Drosophila melanogaster: one gene and its partner. The protein of the gene in region 2 interacts with the protein of the main gene of each other region in a pairwise test. Each region holds a gene or a part of one and is shown on either strand. Other genes may lie near its edges. The genes, in order: CG15564 and Gdh.

What was found.
Region 1: the proteins of Gdh (region 2) and CG15564 interact in a two-hybrid assay, tested with the Drosophila melanogaster proteins (one large-scale study listed by BioGRID).

Annotation. Positions count from the first base shown.
Region 1 is NT_033777.3:31,230,091-31,237,785, forward strand, and holds CG15564 (uncharacterized protein), read right to left. Parts: upstream 5,273-7,695; 5' UTR 5,192-5,272; coding exon 5,009-5,191; intron 4,131-5,008; coding exon 4,014-4,130; intron 3,949-4,013; coding exon 3,672-3,948; intron 3,615-3,671; coding exon 3,457-3,614; intron 3,388-3,456; coding exon 3,298-3,387; intron 3,241-3,297; coding exon 2,530-3,240; 3' UTR 2,325-2,529; downstream 1-2,324. Other genes in the region: CG15563 (uncharacterized protein), read right to left, coding at 1,854-2,204; qless, read right to left, coding at 7,138-7,359.
Region 2 is NT_033777.3:23,936,138-23,946,561, forward strand, and holds the start of Gdh (glutamate dehydrogenase), read right to left. Parts: upstream 6,965-10,424; 5' UTR 6,875-6,964; coding exon 6,457-6,874; intron 2,634-6,456; exon of another isoform or gene 2,486-2,633; intron 2,419-2,485; coding exon 1,984-2,418; intron 1,915-1,983; coding exon 1,595-1,914; intron 1,491-1,594; coding exon 1,286-1,490; intron 883-1,285; coding exon 844-882; intron 509-843; coding exon 237-508; 3' UTR 1-236. Other genes in the region: CG12268 (uncharacterized protein), read right to left, coding at 7,552-7,969, 8,028-8,478, 8,548-8,657, 8,880-9,274.

The DNA of each region.
Region 1 (7,695 bases), 7.3 Mb from region 2:
TAGATTACGCTATTGTTTATAGAGCAGAGCATGCATCTGTAGCTGTGTGAGTGTTTGTCCGTGCATGTATTGTAATTGTTTATTTATAGTGTTCGAACGTCCCCTAAGTGTAAAGTCCCCGACAATTACAAAATATACGATATGAATATAAAATATATTTGTCCATTCTCTCGACGATTGTATAGCATTGTACGCCCCTGATTCAACAATCGAACTTCCTATCCTAGCAGAATCGGGTTCCTTAACCATTCAAACAGAACAAAAATGAAATTTTTAAAATACGATACGATATTTACATCAAGTATACATCATATACATCAATTTAGTCAGCCGCCAAAACAAAACAAAATAAAAGTAAACTTTTCAGAGCGCATTTCGCAGACGCGCAGCGTCTTAAAAATTAATCACAACTAAACTAAATAGTTCAGCGTCCCTATAGATATAACATCTAGCTATCGATGAATACCTATATCTAAATACAACAATATATTTAAGACCCACGCTTAAGCGATGCCAAACGGATCGCCCTAGTTTAGCCAAACAACTTTTATATGAACGCAAACTATCTTCGGATCCCCGGAGCTCCATCGAGTTTTCAGTCAGGAGATGCAAGTCAAATCCCTACCCGATAACTCACATTCAAACTTTCAGAATGGATATGAACTCAAACCCTCTAATGAAAACAATAAAATGAGTATGTCATCTTATATAAGACTGCTGTTATGTTCGTAAATATATTTAATATATGTATGTAAAATTAACGAAAAACAAAACCACACACAAAAAAAGTAATAAAACCGAAATAACTTTTAAATAAAAAAATCACAAAACACAGAAAATGAATAAAAATCTATATGAATAGTTAACGTATTCGTACTCTACCTACATACTATTACTATGTACTATATAATGTATTGTAACTGTAATTTACTAAAATCGTAATAATACGTAGAGAATTAACTGACGTTTAAACATAAATCATCGACATCCACATAAACACACAAAGAGTCCCTATTTGAGTTGAAAACGAGAGCTCAAAGGGGATAATTGGCACATCCATAAGCCAGAAGAAATCATTATCATCCACAAAAACAAAAAAAAAGTAGTAAAATATTCTCTTTTTGCTTTATGTGATCTATTACATACTACATAAACATATGTATAATAATAAAAATGTCCTTCAAAAACAAACTCGAGAGAAATGATTGAATTTATTTTTCCTAGCAGTCGGAACGATGCAGTTTGAGGGCAACTGTTTAATGCTAAAACAGTTTGATGGGAACTGGTTGCCAACGAATATTTAGGTACAGTAATCGCTATGTTAAAAGTGGTTTTAATTTATTAATATATTTTATTTTTCTGTATAATTGATTGTTTTGTATTTACAAGATATTACTTATGCTATATATAAGCCAAAATGAATTATTTGTCAATATTAAATTAACAAAGATTCGAAAGAGTTCGTAGATCTATTTTTTTCTTTATTACCTATTTATTAAACTACCTACACTCTCCATCAAAAGAGATTTTGTAATTTAATTCACCACCCTGACCATATTTTTTAGTTTTCCCTTAATTTAGAAAACAACCTATTCAAAACTTTGGTCAACTTACTAGAAGCAAGTTGGCAAAATTTTCACAGAGATAGTACAAATGACATATAGGCTGATATTAATATTACTGGAATTGCGAACTTGAAGAACCTAAAATAGTAATAAATAAATAATTACTCCAGTAATGTGATTTCATGGGTCTTGGCATCGATTGATTTCTGAGCAGATGACTTAAGCGCACAAACTACGAGCCAGTCAGAAGGTGAGGGAATATCCTTGAATATCCAAGAATCCTTGGCCTTACGCCGATTCGCTGGCGCCATAGAGCAGATTGTCCAGTTTCAGTTTGTTGATCTTGTCGCCACGGGCTCCATGTCCTGGTCTGCCCCAGAACGTTTCGAATGTGTCGAAATGTTGGTTGCACAGATCCCTGTCCAGTTGCTTGGAAACGGAGACGGATCGACGGTTCTGCGAGATCTGGACATTCAGGTCGTGCAGATAGCGCATGTCGGCGGCCGTTTGAATCCTGGTTGCCGGTCGATTGGTGGGCAGCAATATTATAGTTTCATTTATATCAGTTCGATTTTTCAGATTTCGAATTTTCGATTTTCGGTTTTCAGTTCGATTTGTTTTGCACGGGGATACATACATAGAAGATTGGTATTATGATTTTTGACTTTTGCTGTTGCGGTTTGTTTGATTTTGGTGAGATTGGTATTTGGTTTGCTCGTTTGGTTGCTATACTTTCACTTGTATTACAATGGATATTTTCTTGCTGGATGAGCCGAGGAGAAGTGGGGGATTAGAGAAACCATTAACAGAACAAGATCACAAGGCAAAGGCATAGAGGGGCAAGCGGACTTTCGTTTCAATGTCTGGCGCAGAGCAAGCAAATGAGAAACGGTGGGAGCAGGGAGGTGGTGGAATGGTAGTACTATGAAAGCAGGAGGGGATCGGGATTGATAGAACGTGGGTTTCAAGCCTGGCGAATGTGCAGGGTCAGCCGCTTGAGGCAGCAGCCCGTGGCCAAGGCCGTGGGGCAATCGCAACTGCAACACTGCAGCTTGCAGTTCAGATTCTTGGGCAGCCGCTTCATGTGGCTAATGTTCTTGATGATGCTGTTGATGCACTTGATCTTGGTGGTGGTCAGCTGACAGTTCTTTGGTGGATGCTTGTGCTTGGATGCGTACCTATCGTGCGACGGTGTCCTCTTGGTCACGTCCGTGCTGGAGAGACTGATGGGTCGGTGCATGCCACGCCTTCTGGCGAGCAGGGGAACCAGCTCCACCCCACCACCTTCGCCATAGGCTCCTCCCTTTCCTCCCGCTGTGCTGGGATCCGGAGTGGCGGTACTGGTGCTCCCGGGACAGGGACCTCTCGACGCTATGCGGGGGCACAACTTGATGGGCTTGCTACCGCAGTCCTGCGGCTTCAAGTGGTGCAGCATTTTTCCGGGCGGCGGACCTGGCGGACCCGGGCACTTTTTGCCTGGCGGAATGGGAAGTGAGAGTGGCGACGGCTTGGGCGGACTCTTTTGCATGGCGGGACATTTGCAAGTGCACAACTCACAGCAGCGCTGCGGCTTTGGTGGCTTGCCTGGTCGCGATTTGCGAAAGGTGTTCTTCTCCGCGGGAGTCACCGGGTTATCTTGGTCCAACTCCTTCAGCATCTCCTTGTTCGTCCAACCCTGAAATTAGATTATATTTAAACAGTGTACATATGAGCACAAGCGACTGATACCCACCAGTGACTTCATGAACGTGTTGCCCACTTCCTTGGGACTCCGCCATGGCTTGCCGCCCGGACCCGCCTTGCCCCACGGCTCCTTGCAGGACTAGAAGGAGGACAGATAAAGAGGGATTAGTTAAACTTGGTTTCAGGGGGCGTAATAAGTGCCGCTCACCGGCTTTTCGAGTTTGGCTTGCAAGCGCTTCTTCTGAGTGGCCAGCTTTTCCTGCAAAGGACATCGCTGCTCACTCTCGCTGACTACGATCTTCTCCAGAAGCGGCTTCCCCTTGCACGGAGGAGAGGGCTTGTACCGCAATTCTATGTCCACATGGCCTTTATTGCGAAACGACATTGAAGGATGTTCTTTCAGCTCGATGTGAAGGCTCTCACCGTTGGCGTTTTTGGCCACATTGACACCAACTGCCGCTCCGGGCTTGTGCGGAATCTCCCGCTCGCAAATCGTTACGGTGCTGCTCCTGGGACCACTTTCCTGCAGGTGATGGACCGAGTGGGCGTGGCCCAGTCGGCCACCCGGCGGCGGAGCAGGCGGGGCGTGGTGGTGGTGGTGATGGTAGGCGGCCAGCGGGTTGTTGTGGCACTTCTTCTGCATCGAGAAGAAGTCGTTGTAGCGACACGGCTGCAGTAGATTCATTCGGTGGGCATTGGTCTGCGGCACATTCAAATTATTGGAGTAGAATATATGTTATTCGAGAAGGATTCAAGAGTCCTTACCACTGTGGGCGTCGAGTGAAGGCCAGCGGCTGTGATGTCCTTGCGTCGCACCTCTACGTTGGGTGCCCCACCACCAGGTCGACCCCAGGGACAATGTTGGTGAAACAGGTCGTAGTACTGGATAAAAGAACATTGTTGATACGAATTGATCTTCAACTTATTTCAGTAAAGATTGTGATGCTTGGAAAAATCGTTTAGGCAAACTAACGTATCCTCCGCTGAAATCATGAATCGCATTACCCGCAATAAAGTCACAACATAAATACATTAAATTACTTCCGCAGGACGATTACAACACCGAGTTATGCCTTATCGATTGGGTGGCAGCCTATTTGTGGCTCCAGACTGCCTCAACCCACCTCGTCGTGTCACTCCGCGAAGTGTGGCGATGTTTGTTTACGGAAATTGGCAAATTCAGGAGCTCCCGCTGCCCTGGCCCACAAAGTTTGTTAGTAGGTTGTTGTTATAGTTGCAGCGAACGGCGATTTGCATTTCACTGATTTTTTTCACCCACATTTCGGTTGGCGCTTTCACACAGCTGCAGGTTGTGATAGGTAGTGGAGCAAGGAGCCAGGACTCCAGTCACGCAAGGACTCGCAGGAGTTGGGCTTTTAGCCGAAGAGAGGGGATTTGATTACCGAAGTCGAAATTGTCAAAGGGTTTGTTGAACCAGATCCGCGGGGGCGGATGCCTTACATGTTGCTTGAGGCAGGTCTTTGAACTTACCAAAAGTTGCAACTATTGCGTGGCGGATGGTTCGAGATGTTTTTCGATTGTCATTTCGTTCGTTTCTGGTTTTGCCTTAGACTTAGACAAAGAACTTGGAACTTGGTGAATTGATTATGGCCTTTAAAGTTTTAAAACTAATATATTTAGGGTTCAGAGTTCCAAGCTTAAGGTGTTTCAGGTAACTACTAACAACTTTGCTTGGGGCCCTAAAATATAACTCATACGCACGGTCTGGAAATATCACACACATACGCACTGTTACCCACCTCCTGCTTATCCTTCTCCTTGCGAGCACACTCCTCCGCCTTCCGGCGCCGCCACATGCGAAGACTCTCCTCTGCATTCTTGCGCTCCACAAGACGCTTCTTCTCATCGCACCACATCAGCGGATGCTGGATGTGGTCGTGGCAGAAGTTGCCCCCCATGCCCATTTCATCGCTAGTCGTCATGGCTCTCTGAATGCTCTGGAGATCCTATCTGGATGTTTGGGAAACTGGTAGAACGAGAACAGAAGTAGCGCTGCGTTCAGCAAACGCGGCGTTACTGAATCGGTCTCGTGTCCCATCCAAGCCGTTTAACCGCCGAATTGGCTGCCAGGATCCGTGCCAGGCACTAAAGGGCCGTGGATGATGGGTCGGTTGTCTAGGCAGCACGCCCGACTATTTATAACCTAGGTTAAGGCACACTTCGGTCGTCTGTCCTTGAAGGCGAGTCGAAGGATATCGAAACCTCAGCTAATTTGGTCTGGCTATTTAAATATTTCGCCAGTTAGACACGATGTTTGCCTGCTCCACTTTGCTAGACTGCCTGGACATAAAATATATTGACTTTATGTTGCCTGGAAATAATGCCACGGCTGCGTTGGCTTAACCTGAATCGTGATGCTCTGTTTTAATGAAACGCAAAAGTAAGCCTACTGCAGTATAGCGTGCCACTTAATACGAAACTTGTTGATGTTTTAAAATGAAAAGCTCTTGCAAGCCTAAGCAGCAAGCATTACTCATACGCCCCGTGTGGCAGTTACAATTTCAGCCAGCAACTCACACCGCCAAATTTATTTGTTTGCCCCAATTTCGGTTTCAGCCATGCCCGTTGCAACATAAGGCATTTTGGCCATGTCCAAAACTATTTCACTGGGTCAACCTGGTTGGTGGTTAATATGTTGCATAGCTACAAGCGGCGAAATCAGCTCCAATTTGCTTGTTTTACAAAATCGAATTTTTATTCATCTCATTAGGTATACAAATATCGTAATTACATGTATCAATATCAACATCTGTATCATTATTTTGTCGTTCGCACTCTAAAATATGTGGGTATATCGTCGTCAGCACCCAATTGTATTGATTAACTAGCCAGCAAATTTCTGCATTATATCTTTCATTTGCCTTTCTTTCAGTGTAGAGCAGGCTGTAAAGGAGCCCAATGAATTTGCATCAAAACTAAACGGACAAAAAAACGAATTTCGCTGACTAACTTAACTGAGGTTGTGTTTATAAATTAAAATAAAAACTTACATCTAAAAAGATTTGTAGAACATTTCAACATTTGGGGTTTGCGGTTCGAATTCGTTTCAAATGTCTTTTAAATTACTATTGCATTAGAGGCGGAGAAGAAAGATTTAAAATTAAGACTGGGCAGCATTGTTTCACATACAATCCTCGTTACATTTCTTATAGAACATATTATAATATGCATTTCATGCGCGAATGGTTCAAAATATTTTATTTAATCCAGCTAAACTACGGGCTTTCCACTTTAAGTTACAAGTTTGTGCGGTCGGAAGGGATTTTAAACAGAGTGCAGGCAATGACCATTGAACCATTTAGGCATGAAATGCCCTAAATCAAGTATTAATATAAAATAAACCAATTATGCTCCTCGTGCTTCGTATTAAAAATATCGCTCTACACACTGGCTTTCTTTGTTGCATTGACTAATAAACATTTTCATTTTAAAGTAGATTCCACATTTGGTGCTCGCCTGGCAACCCATTTCCATTCATTTATTTGATGAAATGTTTGTACAATTTTCTCGTTTCCCCTATTGTTGTTGGCTTTTGGCTCATGTTTCGCTCTCTATACATATAAATAAATTTGTCGAAAAACATTGCATACAAAATTTGTCAAAAATTCATTAAACATCTTGTAATTATGTTATGTACAGCGATCGTTGCCATTTAGTGTGTGTTGATTAGGTTTTTTTATGCAATTATTTACAGTGTCAACAACAAATGCCTAAAAACTAAATAATAATTCTTGTTTACAAATTGGCCCGCCGGCTGAACAGGACTTAATCCAAACATCAATGGGCCTACATAACAATATTATTATTAATATTATTATTATTGCATTACGTGTATGGTTTATGTTAGGGTGTTCGGGTGCTCGGTACTCTACTTCATGCGGTTGATGACTAAGTCGGCGACCACCTGGAGACCCTTCTGGTAGGGCGACTCCGTGAGCTCCTGGGCCAGCCGTATCGCCTCGTTGCAGTGCTTCTTGGCCAGAAACCGGGTCTGCTCCAGACCGTGCGACTTGTGCACCAGCTCGAAGGCGCGCTCCACGTCGCCGGGCTCGCTGAAGCGCCGCATCACCATGGGATTCAGCTCGGGGTACTGGAATGTACGGAAAAGGCATTTCAATTATGCAGGTTATGCAGTTTGCAGCTATGTAGCGGCTTTAAACGCACTGCACGCGTGCACAGCCCGCGGAATGCATAGCAAATGGGCATTGGTAATCGGTGGCAATTGATGAGTTACAGTCGCATTGTATCATCTGCGCATCTAGCCAACCACCCACCCACATGACATCATCACACCTTCACCGCCCGCACCATGAATACATCATCGTTGCGATGGCGCGAAGCCACTTTGGATGCATAGCAAATAGACATCTGGACAAAGAGACAGCTCAATCTAGCTCATATATACACAGAGAAAAATGGTAACTCA
Region 2 (10,424 bases):
TCAACTTAATACGAAACACGGGCGAAAGTTCGCTTTTGTTTTGCTTTGTTTTTTAAAAGAGTTATTTTGGCCAGCTCCAATTGCCATAGATATAAATTACGATTCTTGCATTTCGGTTTTGTGACTTTTCATCTAAGACGGCGGTGCATGGAGCAATAGCAATAGTTATGCTCTTGAGTTCGATTGCTTAATTAACTAGTTAAGAGTCTGGGGGCTAATCAGCACACTCAGCGGGCTTAGAAGGCCAGGCCGGCATCGCGGTATGTGGTGAAGATCTTCTCAATGGAGTTGACGTAGGCAGCGGTTCTGAGGTCCAGGCCCAGGTTGTACTTCATGGCTGTCTTCATGATGGCGCGGGCGGAGCGCTCCATGGTGTAGTCCAGGCCGGAGTGCACGATATCCTTCTCGGAGGCGCCGGAGATGCGCTTCTGGAACGACTCGGAGGGGGTCACGGGGATGCGACCGCCCACACGGCCGAAGCGACGCTCCAGGGACTCTTGAACGGATTCTGCAGGAAAACAGCGATGGGGGAAACAAAAGGACAAAGCGATTAGTTAAGAGTGCCACATGCTCAAGGGACCACATATACATATATGACAGGGTTTTTTAAGCCACCAAATAATTAGATACCGAATTAAAGCATAGGATTGGATGGTTCCTGGTATTAGTCTGATTATGATATTGTGTTTTTTTTTTTTTGGATAAAGCAACAAGTAATAAATGCACAAAATAAACGTTACAGAACAAAACTAACTACAAAAAAGGTAAACATGAGGTAGAAAAAGTTTTTTGGGCTTAAGGATGGATAGGTGGTAACGAAAAGAATTAATAATCAGAATGTACCGTCATTAATGATTCTTTCAATTGACTGTTGGACTGAGGCTACATTGTTGATAGAGAAACGGAAAAAGAAGAAGAATAAACAACGAATTACTTAGATGATACTTCAAAATTATATAACGATCTTAGAGTCTCTTGGTTATGGTTTGATTTTCAGGTGTAGGTGGATAATAAATCGAAAGTAAATTGACGAGAAACGAAATTTGGAAGTACTGAACCAATATGGGAAGAGCAAATGCCGAAAGAGCAAGCGCTTTTCTAATAGGTTTTGTGTTTTCTAAAATAAATAGCATAACTAAATCCATAAACCAATCAATGAGATGGCATGATCAATGGGCCAAAGTATACTTATTCAGATAGATAGATAGATTGATAGATAACGAGATGAGGAGCAAGTGCCTTCAAGAGCCTATTGTTTTGCATAATAATAGTGTGATAAACTTACCAAGCAGATGGTAGTTGGACTCGCGCTCATACTTGAAGGTCAGGCGACCGTACGAGACGTGGTTCAGGTTCTTCAGCCACTCGAAGAAGGAGACGGTGACACCACCGGCGTTGATGTACAGATCGGGAATGACCAGGATGTTGCGATCGATGAGGATCTTGTCGGCAGCGGGGGTGGTGGGGCCGTTGGCAGCCTCGGCAATGATCTAAAATTGATGAAAATTATTTAAAATATATATTAACCATTTTGAAACGGGAATATATTCCCATTTTTACAAGATTCTTTTGTTATATTCAATTAAGACTTTACCTTAGCTTGAATGCGGTTGGCATTCTCGCTGGTGATGACCTTCTCGACGGCAGCGGGAATGAAGATGTCGCACTTCTCGAACATGAGGTTCTCGCCCTCGTAGGGCTTGGCGTTCTGGTAGCCCACAATGGTGCCGTGCTCGTTCTTGTAGTCCTCCAGCAGCTTAGGGTCAATGCCCTCCGGGTTGTACAGAGTGCCGTCGTGCTCAATGACACCGATGCAGGTGGCTCCGGCGCGGGTCAGATAGCGAGTGGTGTGCAGGCCCACGTTACCGAAGCCCTGGACGATGAAGGTCTTGCCGCCCCAGCCGGGAGTGGTGCCTAAGAATGTAGATATTACCATTAGGATGATGCACTTTCATAACTAGACAATCATGATGCAACACTCACCGATCTGGCTCATGTAGTTGGCCTCGTTGATGAAGTTCTCCAGGCCGTGGAAGACACCGCGACCGGTGGCCGAGACGCGTCCGTGGATACCGCCCTGGTTGATGGGCTTGCCGGTGACACAGGCATGAGCATTGATGTCCAGGTGACCGATGGTCTTGGCATAAGTATCGGCAATCCAGGACATCTCGCGCTCACCGGTTCCCATGTCGGGGGCGGGCACATCGACACCGGGTCCAATGAAGCCCTTCTTGGCCAACTCAAGGGTGAAGCGACGGGTGATCTTCTCCAGCTCGTGCTCGGAGTACTCCTTAGGGTTGATCTTCAGACCGGCCTTGGCTCCGCCGAATGGCACATCCACGCAGGCGCACTTGAAGGTCATCAGGGCGGACAGGGCTTTGACCTCATCGCGTGACACATCCAACGAGAAACGGATGCCTGCAAGGGAAAAGAATTGCATAAGCACATTACGTATACGACAGGTGTGCTCAGAACTTTCGGCGACCTTGTTGCAGCTTTCATTTTTGGTCTAAATCCAACAGACAAATACAAAAATAGACGACAAACTACACGAATTCCTCGCGGAAAGCAAAAGTTCTCCTCGAATCGATGATACAACCGAACATTTCTTGGCTGTTTTACTAAAGCACGTGCCCTAAAAACAAAATCATTGCATCTGGCAGACGTGGGGAAACCTTTCGCCGATGGCGCAACAATCCCATGAACAGAAACCATAAAACCCCTCCTTGGCTCTTATCTTTATTTGCTTGGCACATATAATGTTTATATCTTTGGGAAGTCGGCGCGATTAGATAAGCCAAAATTTCGTGCTTGTAATTCGAATTTAACAAGGGTGTTTTAATTGTAAGAACTTAAAAGTGCAAAGTGCCCGCTTTTTATGGATCGATAAATATAAATGCTGCTTTATTGGCAAGAGCAAGTTCCACCAAATGGCCTTTATACATACGTAAATTTGTATGTAGAACTAGGTAAATTAATGACTTCCCCATTAGAACCCCGGGACGAGCCCCCAAAAAACAAGACTATAAAATCCAAAATTAGCTTAATTTTTGCGATTAAATTAAATGCCTTGTTGCCAAGTGGCCGGTCGATAGTGACCATGAATCAAGCAAATTTTTGGTTTCTCCACACAAAAAACAATCTCTGAATTTGCTTTTGGCACTCGAAATAAGTTCTTGACATTATCAGCTGTGTAGCATTTTTTTGGGGCCCGGCAACTGGAACTTATAAACAAATAAAACGATGAGTACACAATTTCAAAAAATTACAATTCATTATGTACCGATTGGAACTTATTTGTGTATCATTGTTTTTCAAGGGCCAGTCTGATTTTAAAGTACACTATCCTGTCGCGACTGAAGTGAATTATGATCCGGTATGCTTGTAAACAACCTAAAAATAGGTTCTTCCGTGCTGTTACTGAATCTTTAATCTTAAGGAGCACATAATCTGTGCTTTTTAATAATAAACTTTAAGATTAGTGAGCTGGTGTTGGGAAGATTGTATTCACGTAGCATTTATTAATTTAAAGCCAGACTTTCAGTTTATAATGAGTGGTTTTTGAGTTTGCAGAGCCTTTTTTTTACAGCCATTTGGCGTCTTCGCTTTGCCTTTCCGCTGAGTGAGCTAAGCCCTCATATCGAATCGAATCCCAAGTCCAGCTGAGAATGGTGCTGACTGTACCCACCGCGCTTGACGACAGCGAATCATTCTCTATTTGGCGAAGCCCCATTCTTCGCCTTTCTTTTCGCTTATGTTTACCATAAGAAACAAACAAAAAAAAACAGCAGACGAAATGCCAGAGTAACAGCACCAACCGGCTTGATCAGTCGACTTGTTTTCGTTTTTTGCCAAAAATTTTTCGAAAAACAATACAGAAAGAATGAATCTATTAAGGTTCCAAAGATAGCTGCCTATATAGTCTAGTTGGGCATGCTGCTGCTTATACAATCGGTGGTGCGATAACACATTTGGGGGCTCGATCGTGTGGCTGTGTGTGTGTGTGCCATATAGCCACGTCTATAAGTATGCCCATATGTATATATTCCCCATTGGCAACAGGCGACGATCTTTTTGTTTTTCGAATAGACCAAACCGGTTGCCTCACCAAGTCAGCTGACCAGAATTCTACGCCATATGATTAGAATGCCGCCGAGTGCAAAAACTTCTCCGAAATCTTTTTGTCAGTGGGGGCCTTGAGATCTCAATGCTCGATAAGATTGGGGGGATAAGAACGGAAGTGACGCAGATATGGACGCACCCCCAGCGAAGTTGAGTGCTAAGAAACATGCCATTTCGATGTCGATACCATCGTGATCAACTATTTAGCTGTGAACTAGATAATGGGTACAGGTTTGTTTGTTTTTTTTCCAGGGCGAGGTAAGTATCGGGGAATCAACTTGAGTGTAACACAATTAACACGATTTGCATACGCATTTTTCGAGTGCAACTCTCGACGGGTAGCAAATAGAATGGAAACATGTTTGTCAATAAGATAACTGCCAAGTACTTGTGGGCAACGCTATTTACTTGAACTAATGTGTGTACATTTGTCGCCACATGTGTATAATAAATATGTATAAATAATACATTGGCGATAGGGCCGCTTTACATTATCAGTTTTTTATTTTGTCGCGTTCGATTCGAGTTTGAATGCATCACTTGTACTTGTGGTTGAGTAAATGCAAAGCAGACCACTCAATTGACTAGACAATTTAGATCGGTTCATCGACATGTGTAGAAAGTTCCACAGTCGTAGGCCAGATCAAATCGGTTTTGAATGGACCCCCATTTGTTGAAAAAAAAAAAATTAAAGAAAACCAGCACAGTGGTGAAGCGTATGACGCATATATCATAAACTCGCAGTTTTTGTTCAATTCTTTTTTTTTTGGCACAACGTGACTATCACGTGAACAAAGCCGAACGGACAGACACCCCGGGCAAATTAAAACCAGTTCTTTAGAGGCACACACAACTCGACATTTGGACAGGGAACCAAACGAAACGAAATTCATGAGCCGGCTGTTTTTTTTTTAAAGGGGCACTTTTGCCGAAATTCGAGACCGGGGACTTGATGTATGTACATACGCAGAACGTATTAAATAATTAACAGCCAAATGGCAGATGCATCAGCGGGAATTAACATTAATTAGAGCATGGAGCGCACAAAATGGTGGCCATTAAACACTGTCCATTGATCTAGTAGTACTAAGTAAATAAATAGACTAGCAATTTTTAGCACCTTTGACTGAAATAGCAGAGAGCTGGCTATTTGAGTGAATCATTAACGAGCCATAAGGTGGATTCAATTCACTTAGTAACAGGCTGTTTACAACTTTTGGTGACCCAACTAACTAAGCCACATGATCGATCGATCGATCTATGGATCGAAAACAAGATCATAAAGTGTTAAGAAGCGTGGCAATAATCGTAAACAACAAATTTTAGGGGCATAGCGTTTTTTCGGCTGTTTCTGTTTTCTATTTTTGCGCATAACCAAGGTCAGATAAGATTCCCTAGTCGAATATTTTTCACTACATATTTTTTGTGTTCTTTTTTTTTTGCTTTTGATAAGCACCAAACTGATTCTATAATTAATAATTTGAGATGAAGCAAAAAAAAAAGGAACAGAATTCGGAACAAACAATTTTTGTGGCCTGACAACAAGGAGATTTTTTCTTTTTTTTTTTGGTGGTTAGGGGCGTTACTTTTTTTTTAGCACTTGACACACTGTGCAGTGCTGTGCTCTCATTTCAATTAGAAAGCAAAACACAAGCAAAAGTTCATTATAAATAGCACCCAGCCAAAGGAAAAACAAACAGCAGCGAAAGAATCGAAATACATTTGCCAGCTCGAAAATAATGAAATGTGCGAAAAGCGGGCAGTACATTCAGCATATGTACATCTGTTTTTGAATGGTGGCACACTTGAAGGGTTTGGAAATCTAATGCAAACACGTGTGCCCAACGTCCGAGCCTTATGCAATGCGGCCTAAAAACCCTCAAATAACAAAAAAAAAAAAAAAAAAAATGTGGAGAAAGGGGGAGCCCAGTCGGCTAAAACGTAAACAAAACAGGCGGCAGCGGTACATGCGCAGAACGTGGGGAAAAGGGGGTCTGGTCTGGTGTGGCTTATATACTGGGTTACATAACTTGAAAAATCAAGACGAAATGCCAGAAATGCCTAAGGAAAAATCGATTTTGCATCGAGCGACAACAGCTGTTCTGAGGGTTTCTTAAAACTTAAGTAAGTGTTGACAAATTTTTGCTTTAAACTTGCTAGGTAATTGCATTTTTTGTTTTAGATTTTCAAGGAAAACTGAATCATCTAGTGGTCTCTATAGGTTTGGCACTTTTGTTTGCATCCCTTTTGAAAACCTCTTAACGTCTCATTTTTTACTACCTACGTGCAGAGTTCTGACTATTATATCTTGGGTTATCTTGGATCAACACTTGCCTCCCTTGGTGGGCGTCTTGTGGGTGCTGTGCTGGGCGCGGTAGCCGGTGATCATCTCGTAGTTGCCGGCATCGCGGCGCAGGGGGAAGGCGATCTCGATGATGTGGTCGCAGGGCTGCATCAGCATGAGGATGCCCTTCACCTTCTGCTTCTTCTCGTCGCGGGTCAGCTTGCCCTTCATGTCGTCCACCAGCGATTCCTCGGCGATTTGGCAGCCGCGATGGAAGAAATACTCGACCATGTCGAAGAAGCGCGGATCCTTGGCGGTGGGCACATCCTTGAGGCGGTCGGGAATCTGGTGCTCGGTGGCATAGCCGCGGCTCGACTGCATCACAGCGGTGGGCAGTGCCTTGGCCAGCGTGGCCAGCTCCTGCTGGCGGCGGGCGCCCTGGCGGGCCAGACTCTTCAGGTGATACATGCTGCTAATCGCTTGGATTCTTCGGGTTCCAACTCTTTTTTTATTCTGTTCTACACAACCGCTCGCTACTCGACGCCGCACCAAACTGGCCGAGGCACTCGCATAGATATGTATATATATGTCGGCTTTTTCGGAGCGCCGAGCTTTTTGCTCTCCGGCGAGAGCGGTGCAAACTTTTCACCGAAAAGCTCTGTGGGTGGAGTGCCCGCTAGAAACGCGGCACCACCGCCGGCGGATTACTCGCTTCGTTGCCAGGGCGAGATTAGGTATTTGTTATCGGTTTCACGTTCACGTTTTTCTTTGACTCCAAGATTAAGCTATGATTTATCATCTTCGGCTATATGTTGAATTCAGGGGGGTACTGAGTTTCTTTTAGAAAGCACTTGAAAATCTAAGTAATAAACATCGTACAGTACAATACAAACGATATATACAAGGTATATTTTATATAAGGTGTTTTTTTAAAGGTTTTGCTAAATTTTTTATTTAGAGCTCATACTTTCAGGAATTTACCACGTAACTTTCGGGCTTATCATGCTATTGATCTTTCACACAATTCCTATGTGACTGTTTTGAGTTTTAATCCTTAGTTAAAATAGAAATAAAACACAGCTAGCTTACTTAAAAAGAAACAAAATCTTGTGGACTATATTTGAAGTACATAATTAAAGAAGAGTTTATACATGTATGGTGCTGTTTCGCTCATGGTAAATGGTGCTGAGCGAGGATCGGATGAAGGCATCGCTCCGTTCCACGAAGCCATCCAAATGGGTCCACAGGAACCAGAAGCTCAGGGAGAAAAACAGCACTTTGCTGACCCAGTCGAGGATATACAGCCGTCGCAGGACCTTCCTGGCCTGCGGCAGAGTGTCCTCGCTCTCGCCCAGTATATAGGTGCGCATGCCCACAATGTAGTTACTGATGTATGTCTCCCAATTGACCTGACCCACCGACGTGTCGAAGAGGTCCTGATCCAGGAGGCTCAGCTGACTGCTCATCTCCTGGAAGCGCTCGTTTCGGAACTCCCACCTTTTCGTTGTGTAGTACTGCAGCAGCTTCAGACCCATGGACACTTTGCGTTGGACATTGAGTAAGCTGGATGGGAATAATCCATGTGTTAATAGGAGAACTTAAAATTTAACCGTTTACTTACAATGGCTTTTGGCCAAAGACGAGCAGCCAAAAGTCGATGAAGTATGCGGGCAGATAGTGGAAGAAGATGACGCAGAAAAGGTGGTGGTAGTAGTTCTTTTTGATGGATCCACCCGGATACCAGAGCGCAAAGCTGAGCGGCGTTTCGTAGAAGAATCGACGACCCGTCTCGATGCTGTCGCCCCAGGACATCAGCGCCTTGCTGGAGATGCACAGATTGCAGAACTCAACACCCGTCTGCTTGTTACCCTTCTCCTGGCTGGCCTTTCCGCGCTGATAGCCGCACAGGATCATGCCGTTAATGGCCTTGTCTACGGGTATCACCGTGGAGGCGTAGTCCGGATTGCAGTGCATCGATCGGATGACTCCGCGGGCGGCGCCGATCATTAGGCCGGTGGGTCCATTGACGCCCTCGATCCAGCCGGGCAATGGCTCGTGAATGGCGGCCGTCACTGCAATGGATTTAATAAAGCAATTAGCCAGGAGGCACAAAAACAGAGTAGACACTATGGTATACCCACCGATCGAGGGCCTTGTGATGATTATGGGCAGCTTATTGTTGTATCTGCAAATTAAATCTTCCGACAGCGCCTTGCTGTAAGCGTACGTGTTTGGCAAGCCGTTTAGTAATCTAAAAATAAGCCAAAGAAACTGGTTATTAGGTGCCACCAAGGTACGCCTGTAAAGGAGCATGAAACTATAGGCACTTCATTATATTTCAGCCAGTATTTAGATAGCCCAAATCTTTATAAGCGTTTGTTTACTAAAAGTAAGTGCTGCTCAAAATTCATTGGACGCGAATAATAAGAGCAATAATATCTGCGGCTCAGGAAGAGCAATTTCAACCACTTACTTGGGTGTAATCTCCGCCAGAGCTTCGTCGTCCATCGTCTCCACCATTTCGATGATGGAGAAGGGGTTCTGTGGAGCCGGGTAGGCTCGCTCCTCCAGAACGCTCTCGTTGCACTGGCAGTATGAGGTGGACACGTGGACCAGAGCCTGCAGCTGGCTCATCTTCTCAGCGAGGCGGAGGACCTTCAGGGTGCCCACCACGTTCATCATGACCATGGGACGCAGCGGCTGGTCGAAGCGCACATTGGCCGCACAGTGGAAGACCACCTCGACGTTGGAGGCGAGTGTGTTGGTGTCATTGGCGCTCAGGCCAAGGTCCGGCTCCAGCAGATCGCCCTTTACCACGCGCACCTTGTCCACGATGCCGGGATTCTTCTCCAGCAGCTTGCCAAAGATCTGAAAGCGAAAACAAGAGGCGGTCGGTCATTAGTTAAGTGTCATGGCGTTGGAATTGCAATTTGGATCCAAATGGCCTGCTGTTCCACTGGCTAGAATCGCGTAATGGGCCATGTCGCTGGTTTCAGCGCCGGCTTAACGTCCAACAATTAAGAGTCATTGTAAGTTTTTGGATTTTTTCTACCAATAATGATCACCTTGACTTATAAACGCCGTGGATGTGTTTGAGTGGGTTGCATTGTGGACTCCACGTAACACCGAATCTCAGTGTCTTTGAGCTGTGCGATAATTTGGTAATTTGCGGGAGTTGCGTTTGAGGTTTTCCCCTTTTTTGCCGGAGGGCAAACGGGGTATTAGTTCAGTTATAGCGTATAATTATATAGAATTTATATCTGAGTTCACGTGCGAGTGCGTCGCGATTCGGATTCGGATTCGGAATTGTCAGGCTGTCTGAAGTGGAAATTATGGCTAACGGCCGGTGGGCAAGGCCATAATACTGAAACACTCATCGCTTCGCATTTTGTAAGATCTTTATTGACGTGTGGCTGAATTGAAATGGAGTGTCTCAATCTATGACTGACTCACATATCACACTTTAAAATAAGCGGAAAACCATTATACAGTCATAAACGAATAATAAATAAATGATTAATTGTATCAAAACTATAGTAGCTATGCAATACGAGACTTACACACTTTTGTGCTTCATGCAAGCTAAAATTTTGGGGTTCTCAGTCGTAATAATACCATAAGCAGTATTATGAAATATCAAACATTTACTAGGGAATTACGAAAATAGCTTTAGTCATATATTCTTTGTGGTTTAGAATTTTAGTTGTGCTGTTAGTAAATATTGCTCAATACTTTTTGGAGAACCCCCGGAAATGCTTTTTTTTTTGCTTCAGCTAGTAATTATTAGAAAATCCAAATCACACAAATCAATATAGTTAGTTTTAATTGGCAACATAGCACATTATACGATTCCATGGAATTTTGATGCACTTCGTTGCACTTTATATGGCCATTACGCATACGTCATGTGGTACAACGGAGAATGGCAATCTAAGTAGCTGCTAATTAAGCTGCTTAAAACGAGGGGGCTGGGCTTTATTTACGAGCCATAAACTATTCAATTTACAGCATTTAATAA